Arabidopsis thaliana: one gene and its partner. The protein of the gene in region 1 interacts with the protein of each later gene in a pairwise test. Each region holds a gene or a part of one and is shown on either strand. Other genes may lie near its edges.

Region 1 (9,360 bases):
TTCTTCTCGTATAAACAATTGATGAAAACTGAAATACATTTTAGAAGCGGATCGGAGTCGTTGATCACGCTGGAGTCTATTCGGGAACCTACGATGAGGATTACGTCGCTTCTGTTGGTTGCAGCGCTGAAGGAATTTGTAGAGAAAATCAATTGCGGAAGAGGAAGGAGAGAAGCAGCAACGATGAGGATGATGATAAACACTATGGGCTTTTAATGTGTAATGTATGCTTTTAGGCCCAAAATAACCCAATAATAGACACTAGGATTTATTTATCAAAGTGTAACATTATGGGCTTTTATGTGTAATGTGTGCCGTAATGTATTTTTTCTTATTTGCGATGAGAGTACATCATATTTGAATGACAAATTGATTTCGATGCGATTTGAGTGTGGTTAGAAAACCAAATTACCAAATTAGTCTAGTTATATTATTTTTTGTATTTTCAATTTACATAATAATATAAAACAGTACTTGAATTTAATTTATAATATAAAACATTACTTGAATATTTGAAAAGCAATACATAAATATCACAGAGAAATTAATTAGTAAAATTAGAATTAATTTTTGTGTTTAAAATGAAAGAAACTAATAATGGTAATTAATTAATATTGTTTAAATTAATAAGAAAGAAAATTAGTCTCATTGAAGGACTTTGCTCAGCCTCTTTGCTTAAACTTATTCTCCTTATGCTTCTTCAATTTTTGGTACGGATTATCAGCTTGCTTATTCCAACAATTTATTCACAATTTCATGCAAATATCTATTGCCGATCGAATACTGAAACTTTGGAATGTTGTCGGTAAAAATTATAACCTCTCTAGACCAGGTTGAAAAAAATGTTGCAAAAAAATGTATAATCTAGGTGAAAACTTTAAAGAAGGCTAAAATTTCTTGCTCCTTTACGTGACAACTCATATACGTAGTTCTGTATTTGAATGTAATGAATGAGGCCACAACATCTATAGTGTTGATTGAAGGTACGGTTTTACATTTTTTGTTGGTTGTGTTGGTGATGATTTGAGGAGAAAAAGGTTATAAAATTTCCCAAAATAGAGCAATGGGGCTATGATAATAGACAGGTCATTATATTTAGGGAATTCGTTTCCCATATTTGAGAGATTGTTACTATTTGGTTAGCTTTCACATCATGAGGTTTTTGTTGACTCTAAGAACAGTGAGTCTTCTTCGTGTACATGTCCACATTGTTTTTAAAAAAATCCTCCTGTTTCAGTCTCTTGTTCATTTATGCGATCATCACTTGTTTTCCTGTTTTAATGTCCAATCCACCATGTTGTATAGTTTTTTCGGTCGGTTCGAAATCATCCTAAACCAAAAGCAGGTTGAATCCAATCAAATGAAACGTACTAAACTCGATTTTAGCGAAAGCTAGTTGAAAACTCTTAACTTTAAGTATAAAAACTTACAAGACACTTTTGTAACCTATGGAATTTGGGAACTCTAAACTAGTCTATGAAGTTTGTAGAATAATTCCATAGTTTTGTTTTTTAAAATCTCCGTATTATATTTTGATGAGGCTTTGTGCCTAGTAAGACCCAAAGCTAGTCTATTAAACTAGCTATTGCCTATGTTGGCTATGTCACTATGTGCTCCGAAATGATCGATGTATAATTGAGCAATGTGCGTGTGTTTAGGTATAGTAAAATGAGGAGCAGAGCATGCACGTACGTGTTGTTGAATTGATGGAACATGGTACGCTATAAAATCAGTTCGTGGTGTCGCATATTTGAAAATGAACCACAGTAGACTCGCAAAACATTTCTCTGTTGATATGAATTGGATCCTATGCATTAATTTCTGAATCTGTTTCCTTTCCCGACATTATATATTGTATATGTTCCACATTTAAAACTGAAAATTCAATTCTAATAATTCTATCCCCTACAGTTATTGAAACAGACGTCACCAAAAAAATCAACACCTTTTTTTAATGGCTTTTTATAAACGAACCCCGAAAACTTGTAAAAATAAAATAAAAAATACTTGTTAACTTAAATAAGTAGATAACATATACTTTTTTTTCTTTTCAAATGATAACAAAATAAAAGTGAAGGTAATTGGGTTGGGTGTAGATATCCTTAATTAACCTGCTAATGGTTAGTGTTACTTTGTTAGTGCGTATCTTTGAAAAAGTAACTATCCATTCTCACATCTACTGTATGACACAAATTTAGTGTAAATTAAGAAAGTATATATTCAAAGTTATTGACCAAGAAAAAAGGACCATAGGAAATGTTGAGTTAATCTCTGCAGATGGACCGTACAAGTCTGCAGCAAATACTCTGAATCTGAGATAATGTATTCCTCTGCCAATTGATATCTTTTTGGTCAAATAAATACATCTACGTTATGCTTAAAGTCTCACCAAACCTAGGTATTTCCTTTGTATATATGGGATAATATATGTTTCGTATATGCATTTATAGCTGCACAATTAATTAATAATAAAAAAAGAAATACTTTACATTCTTTTTTAAAATTGCATTATGGTGTTATGAATATTCATATTGCGACAGAAATTCTAACGATAATAACTTAATAAGTCTAGCCGATCCCTTAAAAAAATGATTTATAACAGCGAATTCTGCGACATATGGTTGGATAGTTAATTTTAAAATCAGTAAATGGTAGAATTGATATGGCAACAAGTAGTCAAGACTATATGAAAAACGGACTCGTTTGGGAAGATCATTAACATTCACATTATGAAGAGACCGGCTATGTACGTAGAAAGAGGGTTTCATATAAACCATCAAAATGTCGAGAGTGAGAGATAAATGGGGATTGGTGAAAAGACATGTGAAGTGTGCGTGAGAGATATAATTGTGGTTAGAAAATAAAAGACGCAAGAGTCAAATCAAATGTATGCTTTGAGCCTTTTTGGCTGTTATAGTTGGGACTACTTCAGATGTTTAGTTTCATCCTCATTACTATTTCCAATTTTCGGTAGCAACCAACAACAACAACAAAATCATTAATTATTTTTTTAAAAAAAAAAGATTCTGTAAATTGTAGGTTTCTTTGTAAAGGAAAAACAAATAAACAACCAATTTGTGATGGTTTAGTGGTTAATTCAAATTGGTTGTGAGATAGAATTCAAAACTTTGATAATGCATGAGCAGTGACCACTATGAATGTATTAAATGACAAGAATACCTAACGCTTAATTCATATGTATCAAGCGGAAAATAGTTAAAACTTGGGGTGAAATCGCCTTGTTACTTGAACAAAAAAGAAAAAGAAGAAGATCATATTCATAGTTCGAAATTCAAACAAGATAATACCAAGATTTTGTTTGGCAAGCAATCGTAGAATAATATGATGTTTTGTTTGGGGCAACAAAGAACAAAAGCAGTTGAACTAAAAAAAAAGATGTTTACGGATGTTTAACAACTTTTCATCTCTCTCCACTTTTCCAAACACATCTCCACTGCTCACAACGTAGGAAACGTGTTCCCTGTCCTTTACTCTTTCTCTGTCCTAGCATTTTTATTTATTTCTTTCATCTCTATACGTTTCCACATTCCTAGTTTTTTCAAAATTAAGTAGTGACAATTATTGTGAAAATGTTATTGGATTTTATTGTAAATGTAGATTATAGCTATTTGGTTATAACTTAAACCAGAGATAATAATACTATTTATACAATAATCCTAAATTAAAATATCTAGAATGTAAATTAAACTGAGTGTTGAAAACAATTTACAATGCATAAATACAAATGTATAGAAATATATATCAGCTTTCAAATCAGTCCGTGACAGTCCATGAACCTTTTAACAGTTGTATAACAGCATTTTGTCAGAAAACAAGGTCACAACATATACATACACGCACATAGCTTAGAGCCATACGTAATAATATCACACAAATATCAATTATGATGTTCAAAGTCATATTTAATATTTGCTCTTCTCCTCCAATGAGGATGGAGATGGTGCATGCTGACGTGGCGTCTCTCTCCATAACACCTTGCTTCCCGTCTTCTTTGTCTTCGTCCTCACATCATCACTATAACCAACAACAACATTGTATCATGTCGGAAGATCAACACCATTCGATGGATCAGACCACTTCATCGGACTACTTCTCTTTAAATATCGACAATGCTCAACATCTCCGTAGCTACTACACAAGTCATAGAGAAGAAGACATGAACCCTAATCTAAGTGATTACAGTAATTGCAACAAGAAAGACACAACAGTCTATAGAAGCTGTGGACACTCGTCAAAAGCTTCGGTGTCTAGAGGACATTGGAGACCAGCTGAAGATACTAAGCTCAAAGAACTAGTCGCCGTCTACGGTCCACAAAACTGGAACCTCATAGCTGAGAAGCTCCAAGGAAGATCCGGTACGTTAATTCTGTCACTTGATTAAGCTTTTACAAGATTCACGTTCTTGAGATTTTGGGTGTTAATGTTGAGCAGGGAAAAGCTGTAGGCTTCGATGGTTTAACCAACTAGACCCAAGGATAAATAGAAGAGCCTTCACTGAGGAAGAAGAAGAGAGGCTAATGCAAGCTCATAGGCTTTATGGTAACAAATGGGCGATGATAGCGAGGCTTTTCCCTGGTAGGACTGATAATTCTGTGAAGAACCATTGGCATGTTATAATGGCTCGCAAGTTTAGGGAACAATCTTCTTCTTACCGTAGGAGGAAGACGATGGTTTCTCTTAAGCCACTCATTAACCCTAATCCTCACATTTTCAATGATTTTGACCCTACCCGGTTAGCTTTGACCCACCTTGCTAGTAGTGACCATAAGCAGCTTATGTTACCAGTTCCTTGCTTCCCAGGTTTGAGTTTTTGTGTTCTCTTTTCTTTCAGTTTTTAATTCCATATCATTTCTTAATTTTCTTCCATTTTTTGTACTATTTAGGTTATGATCATGAAAATGAGAGTCCATTAATGGTGGATATGTTCGAAACCCAAATGATGGTTGGCGATTACATTGCATGGACACAAGAGGCAACTACATTCGATTTCTTAAACCAAACCGGGAAGAGTGAGATATTTGAAAGAATCAATGAGGAGAAGAAACCACCATTTTTCGATTTTCTTGGGTTGGGGACGGTGTGATCATCATCGATCATGAACAAGACTGGCTTGAGTTAGTTAACAAAAGTTATGAGATGATTTGAGTCCTTGTCGATGTAGTTATGTTGCGTTAATAATTGTAGATTAAATGTTGTTGTCCTTAGTCACATGCAACATTCCTTACCCCGTGTTAATTAGCACGTACATATATACCACTCGTTGGTTAAAATCAATGCTTTCATTTATGTAGATGCCAAATTGTCTCACCTTTACCAAAATTGATTTGAAGTGTAAAACATTTGTACCACTTTATAGTTCTAACTAACTCTTATCTTATATGAAAATGTCAGATTCCGTCATTAATGTCCAAAAATTGTATGGAGTGAGAGTAACAACATGCTTCGTATATGAAGAGGAAGGTGACATATGTTAAAACAGGGACGATGATGTGGATATAAGAAACGACAAAGAACGATAGAGAAGTCAAATTAAAAGGAATAATGTACTACATTGTATTTATTTGGAGTATGCAGAAGTTTAATAACAACATGCGATATTGATGAGGTTGCAAGATTCAGGCACAGATTCTGCAACAGAAAGTCCAAACATCCACTCTTTAATATTCTCACACCCATTGCATTTTTTTATTCTCTCCAAAGCAAAAACATATTTTCATTTCATTGCCCCTTACTTATGCGTCTCATCGACCTCATGTCACCCACATGGCCCCTTCTCCTAGTTATTGTTCATTGTAATAATCATTTGATTTGTATCATGATACTATTTGTATACGTCATTGTAGTTTTAGTCCAGCTTAACACATTTCTATGACTAAATCGAAATAATTGATTGATTTATGAAATTAAGATTAAATTTATGTAATACCGTTTTTCACTAAACACTTCCCGTTGTTAATTGTTTTTTTTTAAGGTTCCATAAGATCCACAAGAAAAGGATAAAACGGTAAGGAGTGTGCAATGTGCACCACTTAAAATCTATTGCTATTCCAGGCTTAGGCCCATTCTCGGACCCAATTTCAGTTTTGTTTGGAAGTGTTTCAACTTTTTCTTTTTTTATGTTAACCGATGTGATTCAATTTCTCGAGCGAGAGAGTACCAATATAGAATGAATATCTCAATTTTGTTTCTAATTTATTAGATGTTCTTAAAACGATAAGTGAAAAGCAATAACGTATATATTGGTTGATTAAAATTTAAATCAAAACGTCGAAAACAGATAAGTGTTGAAGTAAATATCAAACCAAAACCTCTATCAAAGGAACATTCATGTTAATGTAGTTCCTTATGTAATCCAATAATTAAATATTCATGACTTTTTCTTTTTCTTTTATTATTCAAAAAGAAAACAATTTTTTCTGTTTGTTTCCTTAAAAAAGCTGAACTACTTTACGAGAACATATACGTATGGTCCAGGTGAAAGCTGAGTGGCCTCCTACAAAGTCTACCTAACTTTATTCCTTTCTTTCACATTTAAGAAATCTATTTCATAACTTTAGTCTTTAGTCGTATGATAATAATGATTCCAGTTAATAAATCATTTGCAATTTTTATGATGACTAGACCTTGGTAACGAATTTTCCAAAACCCTTCTATATGTTTGAGCTACCGATGTTGCGTATGGTTTTAAGTATTTGCTCTCCAAGTACATTTCTATTCTTTATTCTTTCTCTCCACTCGAGCACCTCAAACTTTTGTGTTCCTTCGGTATCCATTGTTAAAAATGAGAACTCACCAACAACTTAGAACAGTCTTCCGGTTTGGGAAAAGAACATGCGTAGCCTCCCTGCTTATTCTTTAAACGTAACTGGATTTTAAGCTTTTTGTGCAGCTAAAAGAACCAGTCTTTATGGACCTTTAATTTTCACATATTTGTAGAGCTCAAAAACAAATAAAACATTTATTTACTTTTTGTGGAAGAATAGTATATGAGATCAACTATATAACATGAACTTGGGTTGCCTCTCAAAATGTGATATGCTATAATTCTATTAAATTATTAGACAATCGAAAGATTTAAATGCTGACAGTTTAACAAGTAATATTTTTGTTGTTTTAAAGTTTTGTAATCTGCATTTAAGTCTCATTTGAAAGGACATTATATTTACGTTTCATGATCATGGAAGACTCGAAAGTATTAACAAAGATTGGTGTCAAATCTCAAATGATTATGATCCAAATCTTGGAATTACATGGTTATAAAAATAGGTATAGAGCAACAAGCTAAGTATCCATACTAATAAGTAGAAACATTACAACATATCAAGTAATAATCAAAATGAGTAGTATAAAAGATTAGTGAAGGTGCAAAAAGAATGGAAAAAGACATTGGAAAAAAAAGAATAATTGCTTTTTAGAAAAAGTGACTTTTATGCTCTTCTTTTAGCTTTTTTTCAGTGCCAGTGGTTGGATTCTTCTCTTTAATCCAAATATGAAAGTGAAAGATGCTCTGCTTTCTTTGGTTTCATATTCCTCTTTTCTTATCTCTTATCTTAGATTAGTTTGACCCATTTACACTAAGTACCAAAATCGTACAAGCTAATAGTCTGGTACCTCATGCTCATCTGACATGTATTTACCAGAGAGGACAATTTGGAGTTGAGATAATATTTATCTCATGATTCATGGGCAAAAACGTAATTGTAAGTTCAAGATAGATCACGTAGATATTAATCTAAAGGTTTATATATGTTGCAACTTCATCACACAATGGAGAGAAATATCTACAGCTCCAAAAATATCTCTGTTTGTGTACAACAGTAAATACTATATCTACTCTTAGTTCCAAACAACAAAACTATCTACACAGCTTTGCCTTCTTCCACAAGGTAACAATTAGCCAAACTCAAATCTCTCAGTTCATGAATATATATCTATATTAGTGTCTGATTATTGTTGCATGCTCTCCCTGAAGTTCATAGCTCTAGACATCGCTGCAGGGTTTGCTTGTAGACTGTGAGAAGTTTCGGAGACCAAGCTACTTCTGTTGCTGTTTCCCTTTGTGTCAAATCCATTGAACAAACTGAATCCTTGCGTTTTTTTCTCGGGTTTTGTCGGTAACTTAGACCACACAGCGCTCTTACTAGCTTCGATATTCATTCTAAGAGATTCTGAGACCAATCTTGCTCTTGTAGTAGTTATTGTTGTATTAGTATCATTGATTCTTCCTTCAGTTTGATCTCTTGACCGTTTTCCTAAACATGATGAAGTCTCTGAGGTAGGGTATATCGGAACCGTGCATCCCCAGTAGAAGGGGACAGGGTAGAAACTAGCGTTAGGACCCGTTGGACTCCATTGGTAAGGCCAAGGAGAAGAATTATTAGGTAACATTACTTGCGGAGGAAGAAACCCTTGGTAGCTTTTATTTTCTTGAGAAACTGAATCAGCACTTATCTTTGCTGTATCACCTGACTGATGCTTACCAGTCTCTGTAACCGAAGACTCCGAAGAACCGAAACTAAGGATCGTCCCCGAGTTATTATTATCACAATCCTCAGAAGTGACTTGCAAGTAATGGTTTGAAGAAGGCCATCCTTTGTTCTTGCGACGACCTGAGCCAACAGGAACGTTCCTCATAGATCCACCAGCTGTCCAATACCTCTGACAGTTCCTGCAGAAGTAACGTGGCTGGTTCACGTTGTAGTTGTTGTAATAACAGAATTTGGTGTTTGCGCTTTCACATCTAGGACATGGAATAAGCTTGTCCGGTTTCTTGAGAGCCGTTGATTTCTCTCCTGATGTAGTACTTGTGGTAGTTGTTGTTGTGATCTCGCTCTGTTGATCACAGTTGTTCTTGGAACTTCTTGGTGATGAAATCTCAGATACTGCTTTTGGTGGTTCGTTTAGATCGGATAATATATATGGATCTTTGAATTTGTTACTCTCTTGCTCACTTTTTTTAACCGGAACCTGAATTTTTTGTAGAATTTTGATTAGAATTAGCAAAGAGATATAAACAGTCAAGCAAACATTAATTTTTTTAGCCTTTATAACTCATAACAGAGAGAGAAAGTCTCAAATTTTAGGGTTAAAAATTCAGATCGAGATCGACCCATTTGTAGATTCCCTCAGCCAAGAAACTTTTATATATTCATCTCAAAATCATAAAGTTCGTTTATAGATTAATTAACACATAACAAAAAAAAGAGGTTAAGATTCTCATGACATACCCTGATTGGTCCAATAGTTGGAGAACAAGAAGATGAAGAAGAAGACGAATCCTCCTTGCTTGGATCAGAAGAAACATCGTGAACAGGGGACAACGACGACGGATCATAACAA
Region 2 (9,447 bases), on another chromosome or scaffold:
TAAATATTAAAAATAATAAATACGTAAAATTTTAGTAAAAATGACATTTTTAAAACAAAATATCAAAAAATGGTAAACTAGACAATAATACCATTTTATGATTGCGAATTGCTTCCAATGACATCATGGGGAGGTGGATCACATGGTGCCACAACCAGCTTTAGAAACTCAAGGTGGCTCAAGATTCAACAGCCCATGATGGCTCAAGATCTGAGTATCTGACGAACAAATTAAATGACAATATTATTTTTAAGTCAATACTTTTCAGTTTTTCTAATATTTGTTTTAACTTCTATTTATTGTAGTTTAATTATAATTAATACATTACATTTAATTTTAAATTTTATAGTAAAAATCTGCATGAAAAAATATATAATCTTTTTTACGATATGTTTTGTGATAGTTAGTATGTAATACTTGTTTTGTTTTCCATGCCTAATTCGGCCAAACAAAGATTAACTAAGTCAAACAAGCTGCTAATATGGTAAAACGGTCCATTAGAACATCGGCCCATTAAGACAACGGCTCGACCCAAATAAAGATGGTTCAACTCAACATAACAGTGGCTTAGTCTAGTAATATTTTAGCTCGGTCCATTTTAGTTTGGCCCAACCTGATAGATTCGAAAAGATAAAAAGGAGAAATCGCAAGAGAGACAAAGAGAAGCGTATATCAGCTCTTTGCCTATAATTAGCAGAAGACACTATACAGAAAAGGATTCGGACCACAAGTCATTACTTAGGTCAGCTCGTCGCATAAATTTATTTTGGACGAAATATCTTTGATTTTTTTTTTTTGTCAATTTGGATAGTACCATCACAAACATCATCCTTTACATATATAGTGAATAACTAATCATTCAAATGTTTTACTAGTCAATCCATTGTTCATTTTTTTTTTCTTTTGTAGTGATATTCAGATTTTATTCAATTGCACATAATAAATTTTAGTATCCATTAGAAAAAATGGCCTCACAGAAAAAAGTTTATCAGTTAAAGTAGTATCTAGATTTATGTTTATAAGGTTTTACTATCTATTTTAGGTACTTTCTTTACTTTTCTTAGCTTAAATTATAATTCATGTTTCAGAGATTAATCAGTCCATTCTTGTACACATGATCAGTTGCAAATACCATTAAAAAGAAGTCGGGGATGTACTGTGGGAATATAAGTACTATACTATAAGCAGATTCGATCCCAACTAGTGCAAAGCATTTCAATCTTCATTACAAAAGAAAAAAGTAGCAAACAAAAAAGCATTATCTAAATTTAATTATCCAATCGTCATTAGAATCATTGAAAAGGATATAATTGATTTTAATATCTAAGTGGTAACCACATCAATAATTATAAACTTTATTATAGAAAAAAAAACGTAGCGAATCATCGTCACTCTCAGTCGTTTTGTGGCATATACAATAATAAGCCAAAACACAATGAATCTGGACAATTTGCGAGGCATTATTCACTAGTTTACAAGACTTGCCGCTCACTGATAAACATTTTGGACCACAAAGCAATAAGGCAAATAGTGTTTTCGGGGAATACAAAAATATACAATAATTCTACGGACTTGAGACTTAGCTATAAGTCAATATTGAATATTTTATAGAAATCCGAGACTAGTGGAGACATCGCATGAATTAAGACGGTTTATCAGCATTATTCAAGATTGATTTGGTTTGCATCTAACTAACATGATTAAAAATAAGAACCATTGATTAATTCATTCCTTAGAGTATGGGTTCATGCTTGCATATAAATCACTCGTTCGATTTATTTCGTATTACATCTATTTATTCTGTTTAGGTGCAAAGCCGGTCTTAATAGAATATTGTCTTGAGAACATACATATATAAACTGTCATTGTTTCTATCTCCATAAATTTTGAAATCGATCCTAACTAGTTGAATAATCCCTCTATACCAAGAAGGCAAGAACCGACATTTGAATTAATTTAACCAATTATCTTCCACAATTACTTTCTTTTTGTTGTCCATTGTTCTTCATTTACTTTTGGGTTGAATTTATGAACTCAACAAGTCAACAACATTTTATGAATCATATCAATTTTGGGTACACAATCGTGAAGATAATAACGGAGAAAGCTTGCTAAAGACTTAAAAGTGGTGTTTGTGAAGCAGTCTATATGGCCCACTATTAAACATATGTGATATCATGCATGAGTTTTGGTTACTCATTCAAAAGTATGCTGAACAATTCTTTTTTTGTTTTCAAAAATTACGGGTATGTTAGATTATTTTGAGTTAACTAAAAAGCATAGAAGATTAAAAAAATGTTACATTTTTTATATAAAATATTACAACTACATCTAGTGCCGGCTTAGCACATGTGCTTAAGGTGCTAGGACATATGGTCTAGGGTCCAAAAAAAAAAAAACATGATATGATTACATAATAGCACTGGATCTACAAAATGTTTGAGCCGGTCCTGACTACATCACATAATTTCATGCTAATGTTTTTGTGTGTTCTTACGCCTAACGTCTTCTCTACACAAAACAAAAACATGATCATGATTTAGATTTGGCTGAAAACAGAGTTCTTGATTTGAATTTGACTGGAAAAATGTTTCTTGATTTGGTTGAAACATGTTTTCTTATTCGCCTTACTCTCGGATACCTCGTAGCTGAGAAGATATGGACATTGTTCTTTATAGAAATAATGTAAAGCACGACTTCCATACCTTCTTGCAAGGATCTTTGATAAGTTCCTATCCTCATTAACATGTGTTGCACCTTGTTTTTCGATCCTCTAAGCTTCCAAGTATATGACTACAACAACGAGATTGAATATCTAATGATACAAATGGTATCTTAACTATATACTTTCTTTTCAATTCTTCTGGTAATGTGTATTTAACAATTAATTTTGCTAATCTTGGATGTAGCTTTGCACATGGATTGCTACAGATTAGAGCTGTCACAGCGGGCTGTCCATGTCCATTAGCCCAGTCCAATAATGTCCATTTCGATATTGGACAAATAGTGTTCATGTCCACTAAGGCACATGTCCATTAACGCCCGTGCCCATTAATGTCCATGTCCAAATGGGTTGTCCAATAGGCATAACAAAACCAAATTTTAACACAATAGTATTTGCTTCAGCAAGATGCTTGAATGTTTCTTTGTAAATAATCGCTCTAGAGAGCATTAGATGTGTAGAATTCCATTTTGTGCTTACTACCAATTCTTTTTTCTGTTTAAGTAACTCATATTAGTGAGCTAAGCTTTTGATATTTGCAGTTTCATGAATACACGGTGTCAAAGGACCAAGCTTCATAGTTCATACTATGCATAATGCAGACAATGAACACTATATCAAACAATAGTAACAGAAATCGAAAGAGACCCATGTCAAAATCACTCTCAATAAGCAAAAAACAGTAACAAAAAATCATTTCGAATTGAGTAATCAAAAACCCAGATCGAATTGAGTAAAAATGACGAGAATTTGCTTACTTGAACTGGATTAGGAATCTCAGGAGGATCCATGATGTGATGGAGTTGAGATGTTGAAGGAACTCGCCGGAGAAATCGCCGGAAAGAAGAAATCGCCAAATAAGCGTCGGGGAAATGTTTTTTCCCCAAATTTATTTTTGCCCGAACACTTAAACCTAATATTTTTTGACCATTGGGCCGCCCATGTCCATCACGTCCAGTCCGCTGATGCCCATGTCCGTTAACGCCCATGTCCATTAATGCCTGCTTCATAATGGGCTTGTCCATGCCCGGTCCATTAGGCGTTGGACACGGGCCACTCGTCCATTTTGATAACTCTACTACAGATCAATCGTTCAAAGAAATAATAAAATCTCAGTAGACCTATGTTTGGAAGAAACAAGAAAATTTCATAGATCCGTATAATGGATCCATGATTCAAGATTAGCATAATTAAATTCGAAAGTAAATTGACCTTATAACTAAAGTAAAGTGAATTAGGTGGTTACAGTTTTTTCCAATGACATTGTAACATAATATCTTACAAAAGCCAATATTACTATTTGAAAGGTACTTCCGTACTAGTAATGTAGGGATTTGAGACGTGATTATTTATCCTTAATATTCTAATTAGATTGAAGGTTTATATATTAAGTTTTCCATAGTTAAAAGTCAATCTTGAAACAAAAAGATAGTTTGAGGGTTCTCTTGTAAATTTCCTAAAAGTAAAACATTAATACCCTAAAAATCGAAAAATCAGAAAAAGCTTCGGAGCAAGAAAAATCAGAGAAAATTCAAAAACCCTTCACTTGCCTCACTGTTCTTCGTCATGGCGAACAATCCTTCACAGCTTCTTCCTTCAGGTATGCAATTTTTTCTTCACATCTCTCACTTTCCACCTTCTTATATGTAAGAAAATCGAACTAGATCTGCGATTTTTTGGTTTTCAATTTTTGAGCGATTTGGTTTGTTTGTGCAGAGCTAATCGATAGGTGTATAGGGTCTAAGATTTGGGTGATAATGAAAGGAGATAAGGAGCTCGTTGGTATTCTCAAAGGATTCGATGTTTATGTCAACATGGTTCTTGAAGATGTCACCGAATAGTAAGTCTGATTTTAGGGTTTCGATTATTGCTTCATATCTTGTTTAATTGGAATGTTGCTTGATCTATTACACTTTAGGAGGTGAATCATAGACATTGAACCATGGATGTGATTATGCAGAACTTAGCCTTTTGGATTTTGTTTTTGGGTAATTGATCTCAATACTGATTTGTGAATGTCCATCACAGTTCATTCATTTGCTGATTAATGACATTTATTGTGTATGCATAGAGTCTATTTCAGCGGGGTCATATGTGGTTTCGGTGACTTGAGTTGTTTGTGGTTGTGTGAGGATTAGTTAATTGATGCTTAAACCCGTGTTGCTTTGGAGTTAGGATCTCATAGATTCAAGTTTTGATTGTAACAAATTCTTGATTGAATTGTAACTAGAGTGTGTTACTAATTTATCTAAGCATCGTTGTGTAGTGAGATTACGGCAGAAGGAAGACGGGTCACAAAGCTTGATCAGATTCTACTCAATGGCAACAACATCGCCATTGTAAGTAAAAAAACACTTGTGGTTACTCATAGCCATACGTTGTATAAACTTCCTTGTGATGAATTTTCAAGTATCTTGATATAAACAGTTGGTCATTTGAATAGTCAAATTGCTAAGAAACTGGTGTTGAAAATGTTTGTGATGCAGCTGGTGCCAGGTGGGTCTCCCGAAGATGGAGAATGAGATTTGCGAGATTTGATTGGTGTTTTCAGACTTGTGTGAGGAAGGATGTAACTTTTGGTTTTAGATTTAACACTTTGTTCAGAGAAAAGTAGTTGATTTTAAACTCAGAATGACAAAAGTTTTCATTGTTCAGCAATGTGAAAGAGCTAAAGCATCATATTTATTAGACTCAATGCATCATTACTTCTACTTATTCAAGCTCTCTTCGATGTTCTAATGACTATCCCCGTTAGCCACACGAGCGTTGGACAAGTTATCAACAGAGTCTCCCCTCTCAAAAACAGCTGCAGCTCCCATTCCAGTGCCTGTGACGTTCGCATTTTACATATACCATTAACATAGGTAATCATTGATCCAATTCAATCTGAAAAAAAATCTTATATATATACCTATGCACATTGAGATTACTCCAAAGCGGCAATCTTTTCCTCTCCGCTTCATCTCGTGCAACAATGTCGCAACACATCGAGCTCCTGAACATATAGAAAAGAACTCTATTAGCCTGTAACAAATGTTGCATTTTATTTAGTTACGACAAGCTTGGTAAGTAGTAACCTGTAGCACCCAGGGGATGGCCAATAGCAATGGCTCCTCCATTAACATTGACCTTTTCCATATCCAGCTCTAACTTCTTGCAAGAGTACACATACTGAGATGCAAATGCCTGTTTAACAATGCAACAATAAAGATTTATATGTATGTATTATTCCGAAACAGGAAAAAAACCAATGTGAAATATTTTGTTACCTCATTGATCTCGAATAGATCAATATCGCTGACGTTGAGCCCTGCGAGCTTAGTTGCAGCGGGAATGGCAACAGCTGGACCAATACCCATTACAGATGGTTCCACACCAGTAACAGCAAAACTCCTGCATTGTTCCGGAATCAGATTTGCTCGGTTTCTTGAACTGGCAAAATGTTGTATATTCATTTTACCTGAATACTCCAAGAATGGGAAGTCCCTTCTTCATAGCCAAACTTCTCTTCATTAGCAGTACTGCTCCAGCACCATCACTGATCTGACTAGCATTGCCTACACAAAACACATATACTTAAATGCTTCAATCTATGATCTCACTTATGCCAGTGATAGTTAAGAGAGTTGTTTCTAACCAGCTGTGGTGGAACCGTTCTGTTTAAAGACAGTCTTCAGCTTTGCCAAATCTGCCATGTTTGAGTTTGGACGTACACCGTCATCAACAGATACGACGATTGCCTTCTCTGCTTTAGTCTCAGGGTCCACAATCTGTCAAGAACAATATCATTTACTGAGAAAGCTCTACCAAAAGGGCTTTAAAGGAAGTTTGGGAGGTTCTTGTTTTACCTTAGTAGCAACAGGAATGATTTCATCCTTGAGTTTACCAGACGCGATTGCAGCTGCAGCGCGTTTGTGAGACTCCACCTGATTATTACTGAATCAGTACTTATATGAACTAGAGAGGAAAAAAGTGAAGAGAATAACTAACTAACCGCAGCCATATCTTGCTCTTCTCTTGTGACACCGAACCTTTCTGCAACGTTTTCAGAAGTAATTCCCATTGGAAGCAAACAATCACGGGCTTTTGGGAAATCCTGTGCCTATTCCCATGTAGAGTTTACAAGATCATCACAAAACTCTTCTTGTTGAGTAAATTTATACACTCATTGTGATAGCTTACTCTTGGATTAGAGCCATGAAAGCCGCCTCCAGGAATATGATCAGTTGACATTGATTCCACTCCAGCACCAATACCTATGCAATTCACAAAGTTGAGAGAATCAATCCCATGGCCTATACAAGCAGCTAGAGACTACAAAAAACTGATGCAGCAGCATCTTACCAATGTCGTAATAACCAGCTCTAATGGAAGCAGCAACATCAGCAACTGCTTGTAGTCCTGATGAGCATTGTCTATTGACAGTTCTAACTGGCACGGAGTCTAGCTCGTAAAAGAGAAGGATGAAGAAACATATCAACAACTTGTGAGATATTAAGTTTATCTTGATTCTTGAATGAGATTTAGTACCAGGAAAACCAGCAAAATAAGCTGCAACTCTACACTCCATTGCTCTCTGAGAACCAGGCGCTATCACGGTACCAACAACGATATCACCAACTTCACTTGGATCCAAAGATGTTCTTTCCACTACAGCCTAATCAGAACAAACCATGAAACATAAGAAATCATTGATACTACTACTCCATGCATGCACAAGGTTTAATTGATGACTTACCTTAAGAACAGAAGCAAGAAGATCATCAGGAAGAGTGTCTTTGAAACCTCCACGTCTCGCTTTGCAAATGGCGGTACGATATGCCCTGAAGAAGAAGAAGAATCAAGAAACAAAGAAAACTAAAGAAAGTGAAAGTGAAGCAAACTCAATGAGTATACTTACGCTACAATCACAATGTCATCTCCAAAAGCAGCCATTGGGGAAACTTCAGAAACACAATTCACAGGCTAAAATTAACAAAAACACAAGTGAGTCACATAATAAAACAGAGTTAAAGATCATCAGCTTCCACAAACAATTTCAATGTCTAATTAAGACTCACGGATTAAGACAACTAAACTTACAGACAGAAGAGAAGGTTCATGTTTAAGAGAAGAATTAGAAGAAGAAACTGGATTGAGATGACGAAGCAATATCTTTTGTCTTTCCATAGCTCTCTCCATGATTCTCTCTGTTGCAAACACTTGTGTTGCAGCTGAATTCTAATGGTGATTGAAAGACAAAAACTTTCCGGGGAAACTGAAATGGGTTTGGTTGATTTTTCTGGAAAGGGGAAGACGTTAAGTACAATGAGCTTCAGGGTCCTCATTTTTATCGTGGGAGAGATTTTTGATCGATCGTTCTCAGTTCTCACAAGTCTGGTCTGATTGGCCTCGTTGCCAAAACCTTGTCTTGTCGTATTTGTATAAGTTAACGTCGTTACGAAAATATCGCATTTTGACATGTTTTACGCCACATACAAACTCACGCCGTTAAAAATGTGACCGGAAATTAATCGTCGGCAACTATAACTAAACCGGGCCACGTGGGAAGAATCTAACTTTTAAGCAATAAATGTTTCTTCTCATTTTGGGTATTAGTGATTTTGATAATTTGAGTAATTTACAAATTTAGAAGAATTTGAGATAATTTATAAAATTTTAGTGAATAATTTGGATATCCAGATAATATACATGATTTGTATTCTTTACCCACAAGAATTCATATCGGATATAGATTTAAGTTGTTTTGTTTAGTAAGAAAGAGTTAAGTATCCTTCAATTATTTTGTAAAATTCTCGTCCAAAAAATAGTTGTTGTGACTAGAATATACCATCTAATAAATCAATTTTGAGAGACTAAAACGGATTTTCTTAGATAAGTAAAGTCTTTAAGACTCGTAAAAGATAAGATGGAGAGAGGTCAAGAAAGTTACCCGACGGATGAATGAGCTAGTAAGAGTTCCAATAGATATCAAAATCTAAAAGTAGACAATATGCAAATGTTGAGATAACCGATTGTTCAAGATTATATATACAAAAATAGTGTTGAGAGTTAGATGAGGAGTGAAAGAAGTGACGTTGCATTTGGCAATTAACTCTTTTGCCATACTCTTTTGATCCTCCACCACTCTTCCTACCAACCTCCTTACTTATCTTTCATTTTTATGCCTACCTAACCTTCCATTCATGTTAGATTTCTTGCAAACCTAATTTCTTTTATTTGTTTATTAAGTATCTAACTTATTACATAAAGTAAGGTTTTGAACTGGTTTTGTTTTTCTATTTTAAAATGTTTAATTATCTATTTAAAAACAATAAATCAAATATTGAATTGATTAAATATGTTACTAGGTTTCTCTTAAATCTATACATATATATATATATGTTTTTCAATGGAGGTTGTCGTCGATTTCGATTCAGATTACTCCGACAAAGAGGAAGAAGAACCAGTTCAACATCTTCAAACAGTTCTTCTTCCCATTCTCTAATAGTCAAAGTGAAACCATTATGAGGCAAAGTATTCCATGCAAACAATACTATTTTTTATTTTTAAAATTACATTACTAATAGTATTGTTTTTAAAATAAAAAATTCAGTAATTAATTAAAACAGTCCTCTACATTACTACTCAACTAAGCAGCCCAAATTAGAAACAGAATTTTAAAAATTAAAGAAAAGAAACATAATAGTCCTATTTTTATTTTCATAATTAAATAATAATCAATT

The links.
Region 2: the proteins of MYB105 (region 1) and SAD1 interact in binary tests that used the Arabidopsis thaliana proteins (3 or more experiments, as listed by UniProt).

Annotation. Positions count from the first base shown.
Region 1 is NC_003070.9:26,153,803-26,163,162, forward strand, and holds MYB105 (myb domain protein 105), read left to right. Parts: upstream 1-3,899; 5' UTR 3,900-3,904; coding exon 3,905-4,376; intron 4,377-4,452; coding exon 4,453-4,821; intron 4,822-4,904; coding exon 4,905-5,104; 3' UTR 5,105-5,292; downstream 5,293-9,360. Other genes in the region: AT1G69570 (Dof-type zinc finger DNA-binding family protein), read right to left, coding at 7,969-8,988, 9,249-9,360. UniProt on the Arabidopsis thaliana protein: Probable transcription factor that involved in boundary specification, meristem initiation and maintenance, and organ patterning. Functions in both lateral organ separation and axillary meristem formation.
Region 2 is NC_003076.8:19,809,119-19,818,565, forward strand, and holds SAD1 (Small nuclear ribonucleoprotein family protein), read left to right. Parts: upstream 1-4,227; 5' UTR 4,228-4,288; coding exon 4,289-4,322; intron 4,323-4,438; coding exon 4,439-4,562; intron 4,563-4,988; coding exon 4,989-5,061; intron 5,062-5,208; coding exon 5,209-5,244; 3' UTR 5,245-5,436; downstream 5,437-9,447. Other genes in the region: AT5G48860 (uncharacterized protein), read right to left, coding at 2,533-2,793, 3,481-3,747; KAT5 (peroxisomal 3-keto-acyl-CoA thiolase 2), read right to left, coding at 5,458-5,549, 5,634-5,717, 5,800-5,908, 5,992-6,115, 6,183-6,279, 6,360-6,492, 6,571-6,648, 6,717-6,824 and 6 more. UniProt on the Arabidopsis thaliana protein: Component of LSM protein complexes, which are involved in RNA processing. Component of the cytoplasmic LSM1-LSM7 complex which is involved in mRNA degradation by promoting decapping and leading to accurate 5'-3' mRNA decay.